Saccharomyces cerevisiae S288C: one gene and its partners. Changing the gene in region 3 together with the main gene of any one other region gives a genetic interaction. Each region holds a gene or a part of one and is shown on either strand. Other genes may lie near its edges.

The links.
Region 1: mutations in YDJ1 (region 3) and GET4 together harm fitness more than expected from each alone (negative genetic interaction), as found in Saccharomyces cerevisiae (4 studies listed by BioGRID, with this or other methods).
Region 2: mutations in YDJ1 (region 3) and STI1 together harm fitness more than expected from each alone (negative genetic interaction), as found in Saccharomyces cerevisiae (5 studies listed by BioGRID, with this or other methods).
Region 4: mutations in YDJ1 (region 3) and RET2 together harm fitness more than expected from each alone (negative genetic interaction), as found in Saccharomyces cerevisiae (4 studies listed by BioGRID).

What each region holds. Positions count from the first base shown.
Region 1 is NC_001147.6:641,712-647,296, reverse strand, and holds GET4 (protein GET4), read left to right. Parts: upstream 1-2,964; coding exon 2,965-3,903; downstream 3,904-5,585. Other genes in the region: SWT1 (mRNA-processing endoribonuclease), read left to right, coding at 1-171; dynamin-like GTPase SEY1, read right to left, coding at 401-2,731; polyphosphatase DDP1, read right to left, coding at 3,990-4,556; YRR1 (Yrr1p), read left to right, coding at 5,305-5,585. UniProt on the Saccharomyces cerevisiae protein: May play a role in insertion of tail-anchored proteins into the endoplasmic reticulum membrane.
Region 2 is NC_001147.6:378,307-384,958, forward strand, and holds STI1 (Hsp90 cochaperone STI1), read left to right. Parts: upstream 1-2,746; coding exon 2,747-4,516; downstream 4,517-6,652. Other genes in the region: NAD-dependent histone deacetylase HST3, read left to right, coding at 1-1,256; BUB3 (Bub3p), read left to right, coding at 1,475-2,500; CIN5 (Cin5p), read right to left, coding at 5,227-6,114; YOR029W (uncharacterized protein), read left to right, coding at 6,294-6,629. UniProt on the Saccharomyces cerevisiae protein: May play a role in mediating the heat shock response of some HSP70 genes. It is required for optimal growth of yeast cells at both low and high temperature.
Region 3 is NC_001146.8:502,982-508,840, reverse strand, and holds YDJ1 (type I HSP40 co-chaperone YDJ1), read left to right. Parts: upstream 1-1,743; coding exon 1,744-2,973; downstream 2,974-5,859. Other genes in the region: tRNA 1-methyladenosine methyltransferase subunit GCD10, read left to right, coding at 1-65; MTQ1 (S-adenosylmethionine-dependent methyltransferase), read right to left, coding at 139-1,083; AQR1 (Aqr1p), read right to left, coding at 3,357-5,117. UniProt on the Saccharomyces cerevisiae protein: Probably involved in mitochondrial protein import. Is also required for efficient translocation of pre-pro-alpha-factor. Involved in heme regulation of HAP1, as a component of the high-molecular-weight (HMC) complex.
Region 4 is NC_001138.5:247,277-253,548, forward strand, and holds RET2 (coatomer subunit delta), read right to left. Parts: upstream 4,528-6,272; coding exon 2,887-4,527; downstream 1-2,886. Other genes in the region: RMD8 (Rmd8p), read left to right, coding at 1-858; alpha-ketoglutarate dehydrogenase subunit KGD4, read left to right, coding at 1,247-1,618; PRE4 (proteasome core particle subunit beta 7), read right to left, coding at 1,790-2,590; proteasome regulatory particle lid subunit RPN12, read left to right, coding at 5,229-6,053. UniProt on the Saccharomyces cerevisiae protein: The coatomer is a cytosolic protein complex that binds to dilysine motifs and reversibly associates with Golgi non-clathrin-coated vesicles, which further mediate biosynthetic protein transport from the ER, via the Golgi up to the trans Golgi network.

The DNA of each region.
Region 1 (5,585 bases), on a different chromosome or scaffold from region 3:
CCAACAGTTTTGAAATCAAAACCGACAAATCTGAATGACTTAAGAACATTTGAACAATTTTGGGAGACTGTATTGCATTTTTTATTCAGCAAATTCACAAATGAGGAGAAACAATCTTTAGAGAAACAGATTCATGAATGGAAAACATCTATCAATGCTATATCAACCTGAAATGTTTTGCTTAGTGTAAATCTATCAGATTTATTGAAGCCACTCACACAACTCATAAGCTTGCGATATGCATTTGCATATATTTTTAATGTCATATAAATAGTTCCCTATAGTTATATACAAACACACAGACACGTTAGGAGAACAGTAATTATAATAATAACTATAATAACAAAAAAGTAAACACGGTAAATTGAAATAAATTATTCGATCAAAAAATATTTTCATATCATTTTTCTTTTTGCTCGTTTTTTGAGAAATCTTTCATTTCAAAAGATTCCTTCACTTCATGATCTTCAACGACAAATTGCCTTAGTTTATCCTTTATTGCAGTTCTTGTTTCACCAACTGCACTTTGAACAACATTAACAACAGGGCCCCAGAGGCCGAACTTATGAATAACAAAAAAGGTTGCACCTAAGATCAAGGTAAGGGTTACAAATAAGGGGTTTCTTATGACAGCCACGAATTCGTTCCACCCTAATACGGCTAGCAAAACGTAAATCCAAGGTGGAATATGCGTTCTAGTAGTGATGATAGACCTTTTCGAATCCAGAACAGTAATGTTAATCTGCCTGCGGAATTGATCTAAAACATTCTCCTTTTGCAATTCAGTCAAGATGTGTGCGAAACGACGGGAATGAAACACACCTTCGTTGTCCCGATATATTTCGTTGTCCTCGCCGCTTTCCTCTTCAGCCATTGGTACATCAGGAATAATTTCAACGTTATCTGAGGTTACAGCAAGTGAAAGAACCTCAAAAACTTCCAGGGCATGTTCTTTTGCAACACGGAATGCCCCATCAATCTCTTCTTCTGTTTTCCACAATCTTGGAGAACCTTCAGCATCATATCTGAATACATCTTCAAACCTGTCTCTCAATATACTAACAATCGTATCTATTTTCAGGTAGTCATGTACTGTGGTATCCAAGGTTCTCCACGCCAATATTCTAATATTTTTGTAAATCTTCGCGTTTTCGCTCTCTGAAAGTCCAATTTTAAAATCATATTTATCTTTTTCCACTTGATACGCAGATATATTGTCTTTGATAGTAGATTCAAAATCGTTCATTATATCATCCCAAACCTTTTTGGATGGATGTGATAGTAAATGAATCACATGATCCTTTAATTCGGGAACCAGATTTTTTTTAATACGACCGATTTTTGCTTTCAATTCAGCATCACGTAGTTGCTTGATTCTTTCTTCAATATCGTCGGAAAATTTGCAGGTAATCTCTTCGTTTGATATTAGTAGCCCTAACTTTTTGAAGGTCTCCATTGATTCGTTAAATTCTTTCTCAATCTTACTCTTACCTGCCGCCACACTTTCTACAAAAGAGGTAGTAGCTTTGTCTCTAGAAGACACCTCCAATTTTAAATCGTCCCATAACTTTTCCATTAATGATTCCAAGAACTCATTAATTGTACCTGAAATATGTGAATTCAGCTTTGTATTTAAAGCTTCTCGTTTCTCCATATAAACGTTTCTTGCATAGCGCGATGCTTGTTCATCATATTTTGTCAGACATTCTTCTTTTAGCTTCACTAGCTGAGATGTTAAAGATCCCAAGTTACCCTTTAAAGGAGCAATCGATTCATCATATTTTGAAATGAACTCTTCTAGAGCTTCATTAGATATTTCTTCAGTTTTAAATCTAGCAACCAGAATTTGCTGAGTTGGAAGATCTAAATCCTTGTTACGTTCAATTTGATCCCAACAATTTTCTGCGTACATAGTCCAACCATCTAATGGCAACCTATGGTGATATTGAGGTTTGAAATAATAGTTTTCCGTACCTTTCATCACAAACGAATCACCTAATTTCTTGACATCCTGGGTAAATTTGTCTTCTTGCAACAACTTATGAGCTAGCCCGACAAACTTTAAATCGAAATAATCATACAGGCTAGAACCCTCACAACCAGCAGGTTTACTTAACTCTGTCCATATTTTTTCCAATTCTCTCGTAACGGAATCACTCAAACTCGAGAGTGGAGTCACACCTACATGATCTCTAATTACAAAAAGTAACAGCACCTTGTGGTCATTATCATTCTTGCCAAATAGGGAAAGGTTGACCTCAAAAACTGTTTTTAATAAAGCCATATTATTACCTTGATATAGCCCAATTTGCTGCTCCCACATATTAACTATAAGAACTTCAGATACTGCAATGGCAAATAAAGCGGCTTTTCTCTCAAAATCTTGGTCTTCACCTCTTTCTGAACCATCGGAGCCCTCAACATCTAGCACAAAAATATCTGGACGATCATTATCGATTTCAATAGTTGTATTAACCTGTTTAGTGTGAGCCAACCAAATGCCTTTAGTAGTCTGCTGCCTTTTCACCTGAGCATCCATGGTATCAAAGTTGGTGTTAAACAAGACGTTAAGTAAAGTCGATTTACCACTCGATTGAGAACCGAAAACTGAGATGACATGGTAATCTAGACCAACATCACGATTTCCAATACATTGTTGAAAATATTGTAATGCACTTTGATGAAATTCCTTCTCTTCATCTATCAACTGAATAGCAGGTCTATCAGCCATGACTAAAGTATGTCAACCGTCGAGTGAGTTAGTAGCCCGTTTGTTGAAATAAGTCAATAATTATTTACCATCAAAATACACCTTTCAGTATTTTGTTCGTTTTGTCGCTCTTCGTTAAGGTAACAAACAATGGGAAAAAAAGTGAAAGGAAAGTCAAAAAAATGAAATAATAACATGTGCGGTAAAACAACCAAGTAAACATCATAAAGGGACATAAATAATAATAACAAGCTATGGTTCCTGCTGAATCTAATGCTGTACAAGCGAAACTCGCTAAAACCTTACAAAGATTCGAAAATAAGATCAAAGCTGGAGATTATTACGAAGCGCATCAAACGTTGAGAACTATTGCTAATAGATATGTTAGAAGTAAATCATACGAGCATGCCATAGAACTAATTAGTCAAGGGGCCCTTTCATTTTTAAAGGCGAAGCAGGGCGGTTCAGGCACGGATTTGATCTTCTATCTTTTAGAAGTTTATGATTTAGCGGAAGTTAAAGTTGATGACATCTCAGTTGCTAGATTGGTTAGATTAATAGCCGAATTGGATCCTAGCGAGCCCAATTTAAAGGACGTTATTACTGGTATGAACAATTGGTCTATCAAATTTAGTGAATACAAATTTGGAGATCCTTACTTGCACAACACCATTGGTAGCAAACTATTAGAGGGAGATTTCGTTTATGAAGCTGAGAGATATTTTATGTTAGGTACACATGATTCAATGATCAAATATGTCGATTTACTATGGGACTGGTTATGCCAAGTTGATGATATCGAAGATAGCACGGTGGCTGAGTTCTTCAGCAGATTGGTTTTCAACTATTTATTCATCTCTAACATATCATTTGCACATGAATCAAAAGACATTTTTTTGGAAAGATTTATTGAGAAATTTCACCCCAAGTACGAGAAAATTGATAAAAATGGTTATGAAATAGTTTTTTTTGAAGATTATTCCGACCTAAATTTTTTGCAATTGTTGCTAATTACCTGTCAGACTAAGGATAAGAGCTATTTCTTGAATTTAAAGAACCATTATTTAGATTTTTCTCAAGCTTACAAAAGTGAGTTAGAATTTTTGGGCCAGGAATATTTCAATATTGTTGCTCCTAAACAAACGAATTTCCTACAAGACATGATGTCGGGATTCCTGGGCGGATCGAAGTGAAAAGAGCATATTTGCGAAGGAATAGATAAATATGTTTGCGGTGGCTTGACGACCATGACGTATATACATATATATGTATGTGCTAGCTATTTGTCGTCTTTAATGATAGCAGACCTATTAAGGGCCTCCAACAATTCAGGCCTCTTGGCGTCTATCAAGTTTTGTTTAGCTTCTGTATAAGAGTATAGCTTTCTATGTCTTTTGTGACATTCCGGAAATTTATCAAGGAGATTTTCAATCTCTAATTCATAAAAATGAAATTCGGTTCTTGGCGGGTGCTTTGCTACTTCTGAATCTTTTCGAGAGTTCTCGAATTGCTTAATGTCTTTGTTCCAGTCCTTAGGGGGTCTCATGTCTTCAACTGTACCCAAATTGGCGACAATTTTACCTATGCAACCAGCTTCCTCCCAAGTTTCTCGTTGGGCAGTCGTCTCGTAATTAGGCTCGTCTTTCTCAACGCCACCTTTGGGGACAATCCATCTTTTCTTGTGTGCAGAAGAAGTAATCATGAGAACTTGCTTCTTGTCGGGTGTTAAACATATGCAGCCAGCAACTAATCTTGCACCTGTAACGGGTGAGTAAACCTGGTTTTCTCTTCCTTCACGTGCTGTCTCAGAACGTACTGGACCATGATTATCCGCGGTTTTGCCCATTTTGTGTTTCCCCACGCTCTTATACTCCTACGTACTCACTGTTCCTGACCTTTCAGGCGTTATTTCAGTGTGATTTCATGTCTTAAAGTTGAGGCTTCCCTTTACACTATTTACCTCCGCGAGACGTTTGAGAATTAAGCCGCACGTGCTCGCCGCAGATGTTCTTTCAACGACAAGAGAACACCATGCTCCTACTATTTACGCATTATTTACACAGTATACCTTTCTGATGATGAAGTTTGAAGGTTTAAATTCTGGGCAGTAGCTGTTTTTACGGTTGTCTCAATATTTCTCATTCTGCTTTATAATCACGGGAGTATGACAGCATTACCAATCTCTATCAAGATGAAGAAAGATGAGCATGATCGTTTTAAGCTCACATGGAAGCTGTAGTTATTACCAGTATATCCTCTTTATATATAGCGAATGTAGATTTCTGCCAGTATCATACTGGCAGAAATCATAGTGAACGGAGTTAAATCCGCGGAAATTAGAAAAACGTTAAAAGGTTCCATGCCATATTACTAATGGGGTAGAGGCTGATATACGGGGAAAAGGATAACAATACCAAGACATTTATAGTATTCCACATCACTAGACGTATGTAATAGACAACTTCCCCTTGGAATTACCAAAACGCCAAAAATTCGGAATTACAAGAGAAAAGTTAGATCAAAGGAACAACAAGATCAACGAGAAAGTGGGAAAGTTTATTGCCCTCAGCCGTGCCAATAAGAATAGCGTCACAATGAAAAGAAGAAGCGATGCTTTGTTGGGAAGTTTCCAGGCCACCAACGTTACGCCGCCAAGCGATAATAGTAATAGTACGGCCGGTGGAGCCAATGGAAGTAACTCAGGAACACCAACTTCTACTAGCGGTAAGAAGAGAAACAAGCTTATAAAATCTTGTGGCTTTTGCAGAAGGAGAAAACTTCGTTGTGATCAGCAAAAACCTATGTGTTCTACATGCATTTCTAGAAACTTAACAACCTGTCAATATGCTGAAGAATTCAACAAAAACATCGAAAA
Region 2 (6,652 bases), on a different chromosome or scaffold from region 3:
CACATATTATAGGTCTTGATGCCGACGATGAAGTTCTCCGGCGCGTAACCAAGCAGTTGAGCAGATCTAGGAGAATTGCTTGTCTGACTGGGGCAGGCATTTCGTGCAACGCGGGCATTCCTGACTTTCGCTCTTCTGATGGGCTCTACGACCTAGTGAAAAAGGATTGTTCACAGTATTGGTCTATCAAGTCCGGCAGGGAAATGTTTGATATTTCGCTATTTAGAGATGACTTCAAAATATCCATTTTTGCTAAATTTATGGAGAGGCTCTATTCAAATGTTCAATTGGCAAAGCCGACTAAGACGCACAAGTTCATTGCGCATCTAAAAGATAGGAACAAACTGCTGCGCTGTTACACGCAAAACATCGATGGGCTCGAAGAAAGCATAGGACTTACTTTATCAAATAGGAAATTACCGCTTACCTCATTTAGTTCACATTGGAAAAATCTGGATGTCGTTCAGTTGCACGGCGACCTGAAAACTCTTTCGTGTACAAAGTGCTTCCAGACTTTTCCCTGGAGCAGGTACTGGTCTCGTTGTCTAAGAAGAGGTGAGTTACCATTGTGTCCGGATTGCGAAGCACTTATCAACAAGAGATTGAATGAAGGAAAGCGAACTCTTGGTTCTAATGTGGGTATTCTAAGACCTAATATCGTCCTGTATGGTGAAAACCATCCATCCTGTGAAATTATTACGCAAGGCCTAAATCTTGACATAATTAAAGGCAATCCTGATTTTTTGATCATCATGGGTACAAGTTTGAAAGTTGATGGTGTGAAACAACTGGTAAAAAAATTAAGTAAGAAAATTCACGATCGTGGCGGCCTGATCATTCTCGTAAACAAGACACCCATTGGCGAATCCTCTTGGCACGGCATTATAGACTACCAAATCCACTCAGATTGTGATAATTGGGTCACATTTCTTGAATCCCAAATACCAGATTTCTTCAAGACGCAAGATCAAATTAAGAAGTTAAGACAGTTAAAAAGGGAGGCGAGCGACTTGAGAAAGCAAATGAAGGCCCAAAAAGACTCAATCGGAACCCCCCCAACAACCCCTCTACGAACTGCCCAGGGGATTGATATTCAAGGAAACAACGAATTGAATACAAAAATAAAGTCGTTAAACACAGTTAAGAGAAAAATACTGTCACCAGAAAACTCCAGTGAGGAAGACGAAGAGGAAAACTTGGATACAAGAAAACGCGCTAAGATACGACCAACTTTCGGTGACAACCAAGCCTCATAAACTTAACTATTAAAATTGAGTTAACGATAAATAATCGAGGCAGACACCCCTTTGCATAATATATCATCCGTTTAATTTATCTTCCATTTATATACTCATACATATACCAACGGAGATCTGCATGTCCGAGAATACAAAAAATAGTGAACGAAAAAAATATCACATCGCGAAAGAAAAGCTATCTGATATCTGCAACACGAAAACACAACAGTCGCGGCATGCAGATAGTACAAATTGAGCAGGCCCCAAAAGACTACATAAGCGACATCAAAATAATCCCTTCCAAGTCACTGCTTTTGATTACGTCTTGGGATGGCTCTTTAACAGTCTACAAATTCGACATTCAAGCAAAGAATGTTGACCTTTTACAATCGCTACGATATAAACATCCGTTATTGTGCTGCAATTTCATCGACAATACCGATCTGCAAATATACGTGGGAACTGTACAGGGTGAAATTCTAAAAGTTGATTTGATAGGTAGTCCCAGCTTCCAAGCTTTGACGAACAATGAAGCCAATTTGGGTATTTGCCGAATATGCAAATATGGAGACGATAAACTCATTGCCGCGTCATGGGATGGCCTGATAGAGGTTATCGACCCTCGCAATTATGGTGATGGAGTTATTGCTGTTAAAAATTTGAACTCTAATAACACAAAGGTGAAGAATAAGATATTTACTATGGATACAAACTCCTCTCGATTGATCGTTGGTATGAACAATAGTCAGGTTCAATGGTTTCGCCTGCCACTCTGTGAGGATGATAACGGAACAATTGAAGAATCAGGACTGAAGTACCAAATAAGAGATGTCGCTCTTTTACCGAAAGAACAAGAAGGTTATGCATGTAGCAGCATTGACGGGCGAGTTGCTGTGGAGTTTTTCGATGATCAGGGCGATGATTACAACTCAAGCAAAAGATTTGCATTTAGATGCCACCGTTTGAATTTAAAAGATACAAACTTAGCGTATCCAGTAAATTCTATTGAATTTTCCCCCCGTCATAAGTTCCTATACACGGCTGGCTCTGATGGCATAATTTCATGCTGGAACCTACAAACCCGCAAGAAAATAAAAAATTTCGCCAAATTTAACGAAGACAGCGTGGTTAAAATTGCTTGTTCGGACAATATTCTATGTCTGGCAACTTCTGATGATACTTTCAAGACAAACGCCGCAATTGACCAAACTATTGAACTAAACGCAAGTTCAATATACATAATATTTGACTATGAGAACTGATATCTTCGTGAAGATTCGTGTAGTATGATAGAACATTCCAGAAAAAAAATTCAGATTCATCGCTCTCTCTTCGCTTCTCCTCCTTTAAGGAATAAAGAAAAAATCACATACATAGATTAAGTAAATAGGATCTGCTAGAAAAATTATATATAGATCAATCATCTTATTAAGGTATCTTGTTTAAGCCCAAAAGTCTGCTCCCAAATTCCTCACTGTAGCTACTAAAACAACCTATACGCAAGAAAGATGTCATTGACAGCCGATGAATACAAACAACAAGGTAACGCTGCATTTACCGCTAAGGATTACGATAAAGCGATAGAGCTCTTCACTAAAGCTATTGAAGTTTCTGAAACTCCAAACCATGTTTTATATTCTAACAGGTCCGCCTGTTATACTTCTTTAAAGAAATTTAGTGACGCATTGAATGATGCTAATGAATGTGTCAAAATCAATCCATCTTGGTCTAAGGGTTATAATAGACTCGGTGCCGCCCACTTAGGTCTTGGCGATCTCGACGAAGCTGAAAGCAACTACAAAAAAGCCTTGGAGTTGGATGCCAGTAACAAGGCCGCCAAAGAAGGATTGGATCAGGTTCATCGTACCCAACAGGCAAGACAGGCACAGCCTGATTTAGGGTTGACACAGTTGTTTGCTGACCCAAATTTAATTGAAAATTTAAAGAAGAACCCAAAAACTAGCGAAATGATGAAGGACCCTCAATTAGTGGCTAAACTGATTGGGTACAAACAAAATCCGCAAGCTATTGGCCAAGATCTGTTTACTGATCCAAGATTAATGACCATCATGGCTACATTGATGGGGGTTGATTTAAACATGGATGATATAAACCAATCAAACTCCATGCCAAAGGAACCGGAAACCAGTAAAAGCACTGAACAAAAGAAAGATGCTGAACCACAAAGCGATTCCACTACGAGCAAGGAAAATTCCTCTAAAGCACCACAGAAAGAAGAAAGTAAGGAATCCGAGCCAATGGAAGTTGATGAAGATGACTCTAAAATTGAGGCCGACAAGGAAAAGGCCGAAGGTAACAAGTTTTACAAGGCACGTCAATTCGATGAAGCTATAGAGCACTACAACAAGGCGTGGGAACTGCATAAAGATATTACCTATTTAAACAACCGTGCTGCTGCTGAATACGAAAAAGGCGAATACGAGACAGCTATTTCTACCTTGAATGATGCTGTTGAGCAAGGTAGAGAAATGAGAGCGGATTACAAGGTCATTTCCAAATCATTTGCGCGTATTGGTAATGCCTATCACAAATTGGGTGACTTGAAGAAAACTATAGAATACTACCAAAAATCATTGACCGAACATCGTACTGCTGACATTTTGACCAAGTTAAGGAATGCTGAAAAAGAATTGAAGAAAGCTGAGGCGGAGGCGTATGTTAACCCTGAAAAGGCGGAGGAAGCCCGTCTTGAAGGTAAGGAATATTTTACCAAGAGTGATTGGCCGAATGCTGTTAAGGCTTACACTGAAATGATCAAAAGGGCACCTGAAGATGCTAGAGGATATTCTAATAGAGCTGCTGCACTAGCGAAGTTAATGTCTTTCCCTGAAGCTATCGCAGATTGTAACAAAGCCATTGAAAAAGATCCAAATTTCGTGAGAGCTTATATCAGAAAGGCCACCGCACAAATTGCTGTTAAAGAATATGCTTCCGCTTTGGAAACACTAGATGCGGCCAGAACCAAAGATGCTGAAGTGAATAATGGTTCTAGTGCAAGGGAAATTGATCAACTGTACTACAAGGCAAGCCAACAAAGATTCCAACCTGGTACCAGTAACGAAACCCCAGAAGAAACCTATCAAAGGGCCATGAAAGATCCTGAAGTGGCTGCGATCATGCAAGATCCTGTTATGCAAAGTATTTTGCAGCAGGCCCAACAGAATCCCGCTGCTTTACAAGAACACATGAAAAATCCAGAAGTATTCAAAAAGATTCAGACGTTGATCGCTGCTGGTATCATCCGGACTGGCCGCTAAAAATAATACGAAATATAACTTTATTATCTTGAATTCTTTTTTTACTGCTTTTTCATACATACGTACATATAATGATCTTCTCACTTAGTATACTAAATTTGTTTCATGCTATGGTTGATATTTGAGAAATCGGAACTTGAAGATAATAAGTTTCTTGGGCGAGGGAAAAAAACATCGGACCATCTTTCCTGTCGTTCTCCGGATCAGCCCTAGGAAATTTCTGGCCGGAACTCTCCTTAGAAACAAAAAAAATTACGTAATTGGCACAACTTTACGTCAACAATATTCATTACATCAGAATGCGAAAAAAAAAAAGCGAGAATATCTAAGCTCCATGACAACATTCGCTAAGCTGAAAAAATTAGGGAAATAAACTTTTCAAATTGCTATGATATAATTTCGTTTCTTACTATGTATTTTCTACGTATATTTTTACACTCTTGACTCTTTCCTTTTTAGTAATGTGCCTGCCATAAAAAAAGGGAGATGAAGGAAAGAAAATAAAAATGGTGAAAATTAAGCTTTGTTGATTACCTAATACAAGCTGCCTGAAACTAGAAACCATAAATTGTTTCCTATCTCGTAATATTTTCGCCACCTTAGGCATCAATTTTCTTTGGAGAAGGGGGGTTGCATCCCCCTGAAGAAGTGCTTGCCATGTGCTTTGAAAACTTTTAAGATGTTACTAGTACTAATAATTATTCATTATTTTATTCTTTTAATTTCGACTTTAATGATTCAATCATTTTTTTCAATTCACTGTTTTCTTTCATCAAGCCATCGAATAGTTTTGATTTTTCTTCGAGATTTTTGATGTATTTCTCACGACGCTGCCTAAACGCCTTTTGTGCGCTTCGATTTTGGGCAGCTCTCTTAGTATTTCTTAAAGGTTTGCCTGTTTTACCGATCAACTGGCCATCATTGTTATATCTTTCGCCTTCGTTAAAAACCTGCTCTGAAAGAGAAACGGAAACTCGACGTCTTTCCTCTGAAGGAAGGTTAGTCGTGGCACTATTTTTTCTCGTAGCTGGGGTACTATTTGAGGGAAAATATGAAGCTGCCGGTTGGCTAGTAAATGTAGATGCAGTAGTGTAGGAAGATTCAAATGGTGCGTGTGATGCAGTGGTGTATGGATTAGAATTGAAGTGACAGTTTAAATGAGTATCTGATAGTTGCGGTCTAAGCTGGTATGTGTTCAGTCTTGGTAAAGACGGAGGAATCAAATTGTTTATTGTCACCGGCCTTGCAATATGTGGGCCCGCAGTATTTGGAACATCCTCACACAATGCTCCTATATTAACAGAATTTCTTCTTCCAGAAAGATCTGTAAGTGAGCCAGTTCTGCTCTCATAACCAGGCTCTTCAAGTGTTGCAATCTTTGGGAGCTGAATTTGCGGTAGAGTCACATTCGAAGCAACTACCGAAATTGTATGCAAATCAGCCTTGTTCTCCTCTTTAATAAACCCTACAGGAGGGCTTGGCACGAAAGCGGTATCCGTCATTTTTTTTGGCTTTGTACTGTCTCTTGTCATTGAATGGGAAGCTAAAATAGGTTGAAAATTAAAAGGATGATTGTCCATTTTTATTTGCATTAACATTTGAGTAGGTTTTTGGTTTTCCTTCTTGTTCCAAGCTGTTATTCTATATCTATGATGAGATTAACGGCTGCAAAAAGTCGTAGTTAATCAGTAAAATTATCTAATGAATTATTTGTAAGCAGAATGCGTGAGAAAAAATAAATCACCCAGTTCCTTTTTTATATACATGAACTTTGGTAATGATGCAGACATCAACTAGTTCTCGAGTGAGGAGGTATCCTTATCAAATCACTCTCTCCCTAGTATTGAAAGGGTTTTACTCGCCTTCTGCTCCTAGTTACGATTTTTGCCTAGTACTCCTTCCTACCCTCTTCCTCATAGATTTAATGCCAATAAAATTTTCTTTGCATGTCACCATTGGGATCGGTGAGGCAACTCCGGTTCCGATTTTTTTTTTTTCAGCGCCGTGGTATTTCCGCTCGGGAAATCCCCTCCCGCATTGCGTCAGAGCTTATCGATGTAAAGTTAATTTCCCTTTTTTTCGGTTGGGCTGGAGCACTTGGTTGCATTACTAACAAATTAACGAACAATAGTTTTA
Region 3 (5,859 bases):
ACGCGACTGCAGCTGACTCCAGTGAAAAGCTTGCTGAACATGGAGCTAAGAAACAAAAAATATAAATGTCCACAGAGTGTTCCGTTTGATAACTTCCAACAAAAAAACCTGAGAATATATATATTTACATTTATATACTTAGTTGCAATTAGCTTTGTGCCCACTGAGTGCGGTTGCTAAATGTCTTATAGTCCCAAAGGATGCAAAAATCTGGTGTAGTATTCGCCCTTTGGGAGTGGCCTTAAACCCATATACGACTCTTGCTTTCCCATTCGAGTCATATTTCAAACCAATAGACCAAATACGGCTGAGATATGAATCTTCTTTAATGCGCCTCTCCACGTAATTAAACTGTTCAACGTCTCCAATCTCATAAAAGAAGGAGTCTGTCTTCGGCAGCCAATAATTTACTAGATTTATATAGCATTCAAGCTCACCCACTAGCGCTAGCCTTGGTTCGAACAGCTTTACGGAAGTTTTAACATCTCTATTGAAGTCACGCTTTCGAATGTAGGGGGGGTTACCGGTTAATATATCTATATGGGATGGATATTCATCGCTAGCTTTTGAGGACAATATATTATGTTGCACGAGCTTACCACCACTCACCTTGTTTTTCAGCATATTTTCTTTAACCAACTTAATTGCTCTTGTTGACACGTCAATGGCAGTGAACGTGCAATTTGCTATACCATGACTCAAAGCGAGAGCAATACACCCTGTTCCTGTAAACGTATCACAAATATGCAGTGGTATAGTATGCCTTGAAAGCATAGAGTTGTTTAGAGCTCTTATTATGGCCATCACCCATTCCTCGGTTTCCCATCTTGGTATAAGAACACCAGGCTTGCAAACTATGTCCAAGGCCCCAAACGGTTGCGATCTTAAGATGTACTGCAATGGGACGTGTTTGTATCTCTGTAAGCAAGCCCAGCGGATTGATTTATCCGGAGGCAGCTCTTCGGTGAGCCATTTGTACTCGAGTTTCGCTTGCTCGAGAGTCCTACATTCTGGAAGCAAAAGATGCAAACCAGGTCGTATTCTCGAAGCTTTTCTTATCAATGATGTAGATATTCGAGGCATATGTTCTTTCTAACCGTTTCTTTTTCGTTCCTACCATTCAACTATCGCTCCTTGTCTACGAGTTAAGGGGAAGAGAGTGCAGAGTTTCTAAAAGCACTTGAAAACGTAACAAGACATTGACCGTAGAGAGTCGGCAAAATAAAGTCGTTTATACACGTTTGAGTTGTGTGTATTCAACTATGGAATACATTGTTATAATGAGTATGTTGGTATAAAATAAGATGTGAAGTCGCTGGTTTGAGCACGTGATATACACCTGACCTATAATATTTCGTACAAAATTATAGAAGGCCATCGAAAAAATAGAAAATTTTTTCATTTCTTTTTCAAGAAATGAAAAGGCAATAGAGCATCGGCAGGTATGGAAAGTATTTAACTTGCAGATCAATCCACGTACTTATAAAACGTGTAAAAACTTGCTCTACGTTTATATGTTGGTTAGGTAGTTCTTGTTTGATAAGGTGTGTAGTTCGTTTTTATAAATCAAAGTCACAAAAAGTCCTTTTCCCCATATATATTAGGCCCGAACAAGCGTCTTATTTGATAACTGTTACGTATTTATTTTTTTGTTATTTGTTACCATATCTTTTGATAGAACATAATTAAAAATTATCCAAACTGAATTCTACATCTTCCAACAACAATAATAAACGTCCAAAGATGGTTAAAGAAACTAAGTTTTACGATATTCTAGGTGTTCCAGTAACTGCCACTGATGTCGAAATTAAGAAAGCTTATAGAAAATGCGCCTTAAAATACCATCCAGATAAGAATCCAAGTGAGGAAGCTGCAGAAAAGTTCAAAGAAGCTTCAGCAGCCTATGAAATTTTATCAGATCCTGAAAAGAGAGATATATATGACCAATTTGGTGAAGATGGTCTAAGTGGTGCTGGTGGCGCTGGCGGATTCCCAGGTGGTGGATTCGGTTTTGGTGACGATATCTTTTCCCAATTCTTTGGTGCTGGTGGCGCACAAAGACCAAGAGGTCCCCAAAGAGGTAAAGATATCAAGCATGAAATTTCTGCCTCACTTGAAGAATTATATAAGGGTAGGACAGCTAAGTTAGCCCTTAACAAACAGATCCTATGTAAAGAATGTGAAGGTCGTGGTGGTAAGAAAGGCGCCGTCAAGAAGTGTACCAGCTGTAATGGTCAAGGTATTAAATTTGTAACAAGACAAATGGGTCCAATGATCCAAAGATTCCAAACAGAGTGTGATGTCTGTCACGGTACTGGTGATATCATTGATCCTAAGGATCGTTGTAAATCTTGTAACGGTAAGAAAGTTGAAAACGAAAGGAAGATCCTAGAAGTCCATGTCGAACCAGGTATGAAAGATGGTCAAAGAATCGTTTTCAAAGGTGAAGCTGACCAAGCCCCAGATGTCATTCCAGGTGATGTTGTCTTCATAGTTTCTGAGAGACCACACAAGAGCTTCAAGAGAGATGGTGATGATTTAGTATATGAGGCTGAAATTGATCTATTGACTGCTATCGCTGGTGGTGAATTTGCATTGGAACATGTTTCTGGTGATTGGTTAAAGGTCGGTATTGTTCCAGGTGAAGTTATTGCCCCAGGTATGCGTAAGGTCATCGAAGGTAAAGGTATGCCAATTCCAAAATACGGTGGCTATGGTAATTTAATCATCAAATTTACTATCAAGTTCCCAGAAAACCATTTCACATCAGAAGAAAACTTGAAGAAGTTAGAAGAAATTTTGCCTCCAAGAATTGTCCCAGCCATTCCAAAGAAAGCTACTGTGGACGAATGTGTACTCGCAGACTTTGACCCAGCCAAATACAACAGAACACGGGCCTCCAGGGGTGGTGCAAACTATGATTCCGATGAAGAAGAACAAGGTGGCGAAGGTGTTCAATGTGCATCTCAATGATTTTCTTGATAAAAAAAGATCAACTTATTCACGATTCATTTATTCATCATACTTTTCACTTCAAAATACAGTTTTGTAGCTATACATATGTAAAGTAATAATGGTAGAAAATGCAGTTTACCAAAAAAAGTTCTAATTATGACGAAATCTTAAGGAAAGAGTAAAGCAGGGATTATATGCTGAAATTTCCACTGTATATATTTGCCACAGAAAACCATTTTTTGTATTAGGTATATTTAGTGCACCTTTAACATGTCAATAATTCAACGGAAAATTAACGAAGTAAATAATACATTAATTAGGAAAAATTTACATGAAAGTCTATAAGCTGTTTATAAAAAAAATATGCAGGGATAAGTGTCTATCAAATTGAAGAATGCCAATTAATTATGATTATCGTTCTGGTCTCTTTTTGTTCCCTTTTTGGCTTTGACTGCCAAGGTGTTTAACCAAGACTGTCTTTGTTGTTTCAATAATCTATCCTCCCTCCACTTCATACCATATTTCATCGGAATAAACATTAAGAAGTTGAAGAAAAATACCAGCGCACATAAAAATGTAAAAGTACCACCTACAGTCATCGCAGCTTTCATTTTGGCAAAGCAACCCATGAAGATGGTACTCAAACTGCACCTAACAAAGTTGAAACAACTACTTGCTGTAGATGATTTCGTTGGGTACAAATCGACCAATAACGTAGTTGATGTTGATAATGTACTCATAGCACAGTATGAACAGACAAATGAAGTAATTAAAATAGATTCGATCCTCCAGCCCTTATCTATACTCCAACCAAATAAAAGATAGGCTACGACGGCCAAGAAATTTTGGGGCAGAAGACAAACTAAACGGACTTTGAACATATTAATCTCTGCGTCTTGTGGAATCAACCCGTTAGCTTTGTCTTGCTCGAATTTCTTGATCTTTCTCTTGAAATACATGTCAATAATTCTACCTGTGAAGAAGGAACCCATTAAACCGCCAATACCACCGGGTAGATAACACACACCAATAATGACCAAATGATAGTTGTATGGCGCCACTGATAAACCGGATGAAATAGAGGAAAGCATTAACGTCCACATAGCAAATAAGAGCCCTGATGGAAATAAAGACAGAATAATTTCTGGCAATACAAGGATCTTCCCGGCGGATGACAAATCTAGTTTCGGAATGGTGGGATCTAATGTCTCATAATCAGGATTATCGTACTTGAATCTCCTTCTAACTGGGCCCAGTAGGAAAATCGGCGCTCTGTTGATGAATCTTTTAGGCTTAATGGAAAGGTTACCTGCAATGGTTCGCTTTGTTTCTGGCAAAATAAGAAAGGCAATTAGAAAACAACTTCCACAACCAATGGTCAAAAACCAAAAGATAGCTCTCCAATCCCACCTTGCAGTCAGGACGGCACCAATAAGACTACCAAAACATTGACCCAGTAAAACAAACCCTGAGGTGGCGCCAACAAATGTACCTCTTTCATGCTTCAAAGTGAAGTCCCCGACAACACCAGAACTGATTGCAATTGTGGGGGAAATACCAATACTCTGAATACACCTCAAGAAGATAATAACACCGTATGATGGAGCACATGCTAGCCCGATGGATGCAATAACGTATATCAGCATACCTGCTAAAATTATAGGTCTCCGTCCAAAGCAATCCGCCAGACCACCGCTAACTGTGGGAGATATACCTTGAAACAACAGATACACAACCACAGTAACGTTAACCATATTTTCATCCACATTAAATTGCTTTTCCAACTGCCTCAAAGCGGGATAATAGATCGGTGATCCCAATGAAGACCAAAAGCCACACATTGTTAGAATTGCAACCATTCCCCACTTCTGACCGTAACTTAGTAAAGTATATGGCGCTTTTGTCTCTGCAGTTATCTGTTGGGTTGGATCAACTTTATCATCACTGGAGTGAGAAGAAGTCTCAGAGTCTAAATCGCCTTCTATTTCCCTTGTGGTAGTCTTGGATAGAGTCCCGTGACTGTTGATATAAGCGCCTTCGAAATTTAGTTTTTCACTTTTCGTTTGACCATCTGGTTTTGTGTATTCTCTCGTCAGATGCTGCTCATTGTGAGTAGGATACATCTCAATATCTTCTGTGTATATACTGTTACTTCGTGACATTGCTGATTCGACTTTCTGAATCTAGCTTGGATTCTCAAAAAAATAAATTTATCTCCGTATAAATGCTAACTTTGTAAGCCTGGAAAAATCCATAATTTTATATAGAACGACAATATTAGCAATAAAAAGTTAGTAAAAAGTGTATAACCTTGACAGTGTTAAGCGTTATATAATATTGAGTATGATCAACTGTATCCTCGATGAGGGCAGAGAAGTTTCTTTTTCCTTGCCCTAAGGTGCCCGCAACTTCCCGGTGACGAGAAAAAGAAACGTTGGAACGGCTTCTCGTCTGAAGAAAACAATGCAGGCCGGGCATTTCACGGAACAAAAACGGTTCCATCAAGCCGGGTGATTCATAAATTATCCGATACCGGAACAAATCGGTGAGAGATTTTCCGATGGAGGACGGGTAACGAGCCGGTATTTACCGATCTATGGAGTTTCCGAGTCATTACGGGTCCTTTTGTTTTCGTGTATGCTCCCTTCCCCGTAAGAAGTATACGTAGGAAGTGCGGTCTGCGCTGGACAGTATAAAACGGAAACAGGAGTCATCGAGGGGCTCCGGATTTTTTTTTCTTTTTTTAGCATTTAGCCTAATTGCACATTGTGAATAGATTGCCGTAGTAGAAAAAAGCCTTAGGAGTAGATAGCATACGGCAACAGAACTACAAAAAAAAAAAAAAGAGATTTGATGTCTTTTTTTTTTTTTTGGGTGGTTTTTAGGACAATGAAAGAAGAGGTG
Region 4 (6,272 bases), on a different chromosome or scaffold from region 3:
GATCAGTATGTACAGTCCTCTCGTTCACCAGCTTCGCCATCATCAATATCTACGCCATCGCCACCATCTTCATCACAGAATGATTTTGATCGTGTATATAAAATGCATAGGGACAACGACCATGAAGGCAATGATAGACATGCAGAAATTTTCATTTTTCACTATGGCGTTATTGTTTTTTGGAACTTTACTGAAATTCAAGAGAAAAATATTCTTGGTGATATAACATTTGCAGATTATAAGAATTTAATGATCCGGCCGCTGGATGAACAAGATATTGAAACTGAACAATTCCATTTCGAATATGACAGAGATACCGAGAGACCGAGAATTTTCAATGATATTGTCACATTACGTTCAGGTGACCACATTATCGAGCTGACACTATCACATGCGATTGCGCAATCTTCGAAATTATCAAGGTTTGAATCCAGAATTTCGCCGATTTTAATATCAGTCACAAAACTACCTAAAAGACTAGCATTATATGGTACCCTTGGGTTAAAAAGGGAACAGCTTTTGAAAAAATCAGGGAAGCTCTTTAAATTGAGAGTGGATGTTAACCTTTCATCCACCATATTGGATACACCCGAGTTTTTTTGGTCGTTCGAACCAAGTTTGCATCCACTGTACGTGGCAATGAGGGAGTATTTAGAAATTGACCAAAGAGTACAAGTATTAAATGATCGTTGCAAAGTTTTCTTGGAATTCTTTGATATATGCGTTGACTCTGTTGCTGAAAGAAACATGGCTCGTGTTACATGGTGGTTTATTCTTGTCATTTTATTTGGAGTTATATTTTCATTAACAGAGATTTTCGTTCGTTATGTAATTATTCATCGTCATACTTCTACATAGATATTCATACACCCTTCTAGACGGCATTAAAAATAAATTAATGATATATTTAGTTATCAAGGTTTTTAGTCATATATTTCACCGTTATTACCATTCTTGGTCACGTGCAAGTAAAACCACTCGTTGATTGGCTCCCCTCAAGATTGCATTAAAAGTACAATAATATGACTAAGGGACTCGAATATGTAAATTCATCTTTCGCATCAACAAAGGAGAAAAAGACGATAGTGAAGACTAATATTTTAGCCAGATTGCAGTGTTTCAGTGATCTTAAAAGTCTTTTTCATTTCTAGCCGCATTGAATTCTTTAAAGCAAACCATTAAGGAGTACTTCCCCAGGTTTTTAACCGATAATAAGAGTAAGATAAAAGTACAAGAAGACAGGGAAATGATTGCTACACCTATAAGATTAGCAAAGAGTGCATATGAGCCGATGATAAAATTCGTCGGTACAAGGCATCCCTTAGTGAAGCATGCAACTGAGGTCGTTGTTCATCCTTGCGCTACCAACGGAATGTTACCTGGCAGCAAAGAGTGTATTCCAGTGAGTAAATTCATGGAAAATTATAAACCATTCCGTGTAGTGCCAATAAAGCATAGCGCTAATGCTGGTCTCAGCTCGTCAAAGACCTCTGTATTCGTTAACAGGCCATTGCAAAAAGATGAGCTTGCTTCCATTTTCGAGCTACCTGCTAGGTTTCGGTACAAACCTATTAACGAGCATGAATTGGAGAGCATAAATAGCGGTGGTGCATGGTGAAGGATAGATGCAGTAATATTATGATTTTTTTTTGTTATTTTATAGTTTCTTTACACATATCATTATATCTATGTAAAAACGTAGTTACTTAGGAAGAGAGAAGAGTGATGATATTATGAATTGAAAAATAAAAATAAAATGAGTATTTAATGAAGGTGGGATAAAACTCTTCTAAATTTTTTGAGTACCGTAGCCTTTAATATCCTTGGCGAAGTCCCATTTCATGTTTTCAACTTGCAAGTTTTTCTTGAAAGTTAAACCTGTGTTCTTATCAATTATGGCCAGTGAGAAGTTTCTAGAAGAACGGGCATCTCTATAATAAAGAACTCTCATTGCATTTACGATCGCCTCTTCAGCAACCTGTACAGTGGTCTTTGGAATATCAGATTCTCGATCTACAACTTTCCTTAACAGTGGGTTTGCCATGTGTGCCCCAAAACCTGTGGCCAAGGTGGGAGACGAATACGTAACACCTAGAAGATTTACGTATCTTAGGAATTGATCACCATTAGACTGTACACCAGCAACAATGATGGCATTCCAAAGTGGATTCATCTTTGATCTTCGCTGGTACATGACGGTAGCTAGATATTCAAAAATATAGCTGGGTTCGAGCGCTTCTTCAGCATCCGCTAGAGGATTGTCATACGCATTTTCAGTGACTAGATCTTTCAATAATCTCTCAATGTGTTGCATATCAGAAATATCACCTGAAATGCCCACAACGGTGTTATCACCCACGGGAATAAGCCTCTCCACGCCATTGAATCTTAGAAGAGAGCCATATGAACCTAAATTATCTGCTGCAATGATAACCCCATTATCATATTTCATTGATATGACGGAAGTACCTGTTACTATTGGTTGCTGTGTATTAACCATGGGAGAGGCGCCTGCGTTCGCAATTTGTGTATTGTAAGCACCATAAGTAGAGTCTGCGGGCCTGCCCCAACTGAAAGGATCGTGATTCATTCGTGTGGGTTTTTATGTTGTTTTCGGCGGAAGATGAAGGATTCCTGCTGCTTATCCCCTTTCTTAACTTAGCTGTACTTTACTATGTGGGTACGTATTTAAGGTGGCAAATTCTAAACCAAGAAGCTGGAACATCTTTAATAAAAAGGATTGACGGGTAACCCTAAAAGGAAAAATAATAAAGAATAAGAGTAAGTTAAACTATATATATAGAAGGACGAAAGAAAAGATACCTCGATTTTTATTTATTTAGTTTGTGTATATAACTTAAGTATTTTATATGTGAATGTAACGTACTATTGGACAAGATATTCATCTGATTTCAAAGAGGTGATGACGTCGTAAGGGAGCTCTTGATCGTGGTCATTGGCCATGACAACAGATTGTATGGCCATACCGGTGAAACTCTTAGCTAATTTATCCCTCGTGGACTCTTGGAAGGAAACGGTCATTGGGTACAATGCATCTTCATATGGAGCTTCGATAGTGAATGCTAGCGCACCTGCATCGTTGGCAGCAATTTTGCTAATCTTAATGGAGGTTCCCATTTCTTGGTCCATGTTGACAACTTCAGCGTCAGAGCATGTAGAAGACTCTGTATTTATGTCTACTGGCTCCTGAGGGAAAACTGGAATGGTGAAGATCACATCAGCGAGTTCTGTTTCCAGGACGCTCTCATACTCAATAATGACATCAAAGCCCTGTTGTGATTCGGAGGGGGAAACCCATGTAGTTAGAGTTAATGGAATTAATGAGTCATCTTCTGCGGGAGCGACTTTACGCCATCTTAGAACACCCAGGCTTTGGTCGTTGGCTGGGAAAGCCTTAGATTTATCACGCAGGGAGATAAGTTTAGTGGATAGGAACGATTGTTTATCTATGTTTGGATGGGTCTTAAACTGGAAGGATTTATCGCGAACGTCAATAGAATCAGCTAGTTTTAGGTTCGAGTGAGATAAGTCATGGTCATTAATTCTTAGTTCTAAAACACCTTTCAATTCAGAAGAGTGAATGGTACCATCTCTGGAGAATTCTGCATTGATTACCTCCTTGATAGAGATCAAAATACCATTGTTCTCTGGGACATCCTCCTCCGGAGGAGGTGGAGTGCCAGAAGAGGCTGAAGAAATTGCACTTGGCCGTGGTGCGGCACCCGCTCTTCTTCCGGCACCACCACCCAATTTCATACCGCCAGTAGCAGAATGTCCCGCACGCTGAGACGTAGCCATTGGGGAGGCCACTGGGGCCACCTCAGCAGCAGCGGCATGGGAACTTTGTAGATAAGACTGTTGTGCTGCAGGAGAAGCATGGGAGTAGTAACTGTTGATGGCGTTTGTAACGTTAGGATCTTTACTTCCCATGAACCTATTGGCGCCGTCGTAATCGCCATTTGAAGACATAAACCCGTGTTTCCTTTCATGTTCTTTTCTAGCAATTTCCTTAGCACGGCGCTTCCTCTCCTCAGTAGCTTCGATCTCTTTATTACGCTCAATAATTTCCTGGATTCTTTCTTCGTGCGACTCCATAGACAAGTATGTTTGCACTTGAGTAAAGGACAAGTTCTCTTTGTACCCGCCCATTGACACGATTTCGTCGAACGAGGACAAGATCTCAAAGGCATTGTGAAAAATCTCTTGGTCTTGGAAACTAGACAAGTAGGAGTTGATCGTCTGTGAAAACAGATTTAATGTGGCCAAATCCTTGATAATATTGGACTGGCGGTTTGTGATAAGAATAATGTAGTAGTTATCAAAGGGCCTATACACGTAGCGGACGTGCTTGTCCTCGACAAATGTGTGGTCTGACGAGATCTCGGAGACTAGGTTCTGGAAATTGGACAGCAACTCTAGGACTCGATCCTTGGACAGATCTTTGAATTGCCTGGACAAGAGAGGTTTCCCCTGACGCGTAGTGATAGAAGCAGCCAAAACCACCATTGTGTATTTCTTTTGATGGAGCTATAGGTATTCTAATATGATCTATATTCGACGCTGAGGCTAATTGCCCTTGTTCTTGAGGTGTCAACAACCAGATTTTCTAATTTTTCGCTGGCTGTTGCTGGAAAAATGTAAACGCGCAGGGCGGGTAATAATAAAAGTTGAACTATGAAGAACAATAGAAACGCCAAGGTTTACTGACAGAGACATGTTTTAATTCAAGTGATGAGGCGGAAACGTGCAAGATCCTAAATGAAGGATAAAAAGAGTTCTTAAAAAGGGAAGTAAGGAATAACAGAGTAGAAAAACCGAAAAGACAACTTAACAAATCGGCAACACTTTTATGGGGCCCCGCTCGCCTGTGTGCAAGTAGTATTCGACCTGGAACACGCATTTACCACGAGAAGACAGCAATAGTCCGTACAACATTAATTAGTTTCGACAATTGCTCGCCTTTATAAGCCATGCTAGTGCCCAATCAAACACTTTACTTGCCCTGAAGTTCCTTTTTTCGCTAGCCTGTAACTTAAATAAGCCATCTAACCTTTTTTTTCTAAAAATTTTCTTTATTACCCTGTCGGCTTATTTTCTATTCTACACATTATTTGCCACCCATTGAAATTGTAGCTTGTATTAATAGGGAAAAGCCGGAAGTATAACCGGTGGAAAGTACTATTGAAGTGAGATAAGAAGCCATCGTAATGCCCTCGTTAGCCGAATTGACCAAGTCGTTAAGCATAGCCTTTGAAAACGGCGATTATGCCGCGTGTGAGAAGCTCTTGCCCCCTATCAAGATCGAACTTATCAAGAATAACCTTTTAATACCTGACTTATCCATTCAAAATGACATCTATTTGAATGATTTGATGATTACTAAAAGGATCCTGGAAGTAGGTGCCCTTGCTAGCATCCAAACTTTCAATTTTGACAGCTTCGAGAATTACTTCAACCAATTGAAGCCTTACTACTTTAGCAACAATCATAAATTATCTGAATCTGACAAGAAATCGAAGCTGATAAGTCTGTATTTGTTGAACTTATTGTCTCAGAATAACACAACCAAGTTTCACTCGGAATTGCAGTATCTAGATAAACATATCAAGAACTTGGAAGACGATTCACTTTTGTCTTACCCTATCAAACTAGACAGATGGCTCATGGAAGGGTCGTACCAGAAAGCATGGGATCTTCTGCAATCTGGGTCGCAGAATATATCAGAATTCGACTCTTTTACCGATATCCTAAAATCAGCTATAAGAGACGAAATTGCTAAAAATACCGAGCTATCCTACGACTTTCTCCCTCTCTCCAACATAAAGGCTTTGCTCTTTTTCAACAACGAAAAAGAAACTGAAAAATTTGCACTAGAGAGAAACTGGCCTATTGTCAACTCGAAAGTTTACTTCAATAACCAATCAAAGGAGAAAGCTGATTACGAAGATGAAATGATGCATGAAGAAGACCAAAAGACAAACATTATCGAAAAAGCAATGGATTATGCCATAAGTATTGAAAATATTGTGTAATATTTGTATATATAATATGTGCACAAAATTACTACAAAATAAACAACTTTTTCTCTCCCGGAGAACAAAGTAAGTGGAAAAAATTATACTAATAACAATCTAAAAATGTTTATTAGCTAGGATTATACACATAAATATATATATATGTGTGTGTCTATATTTACATATACTAGACCGCAAAAAAAACATAAGGGCATCACTCATAAGAATAATAATATT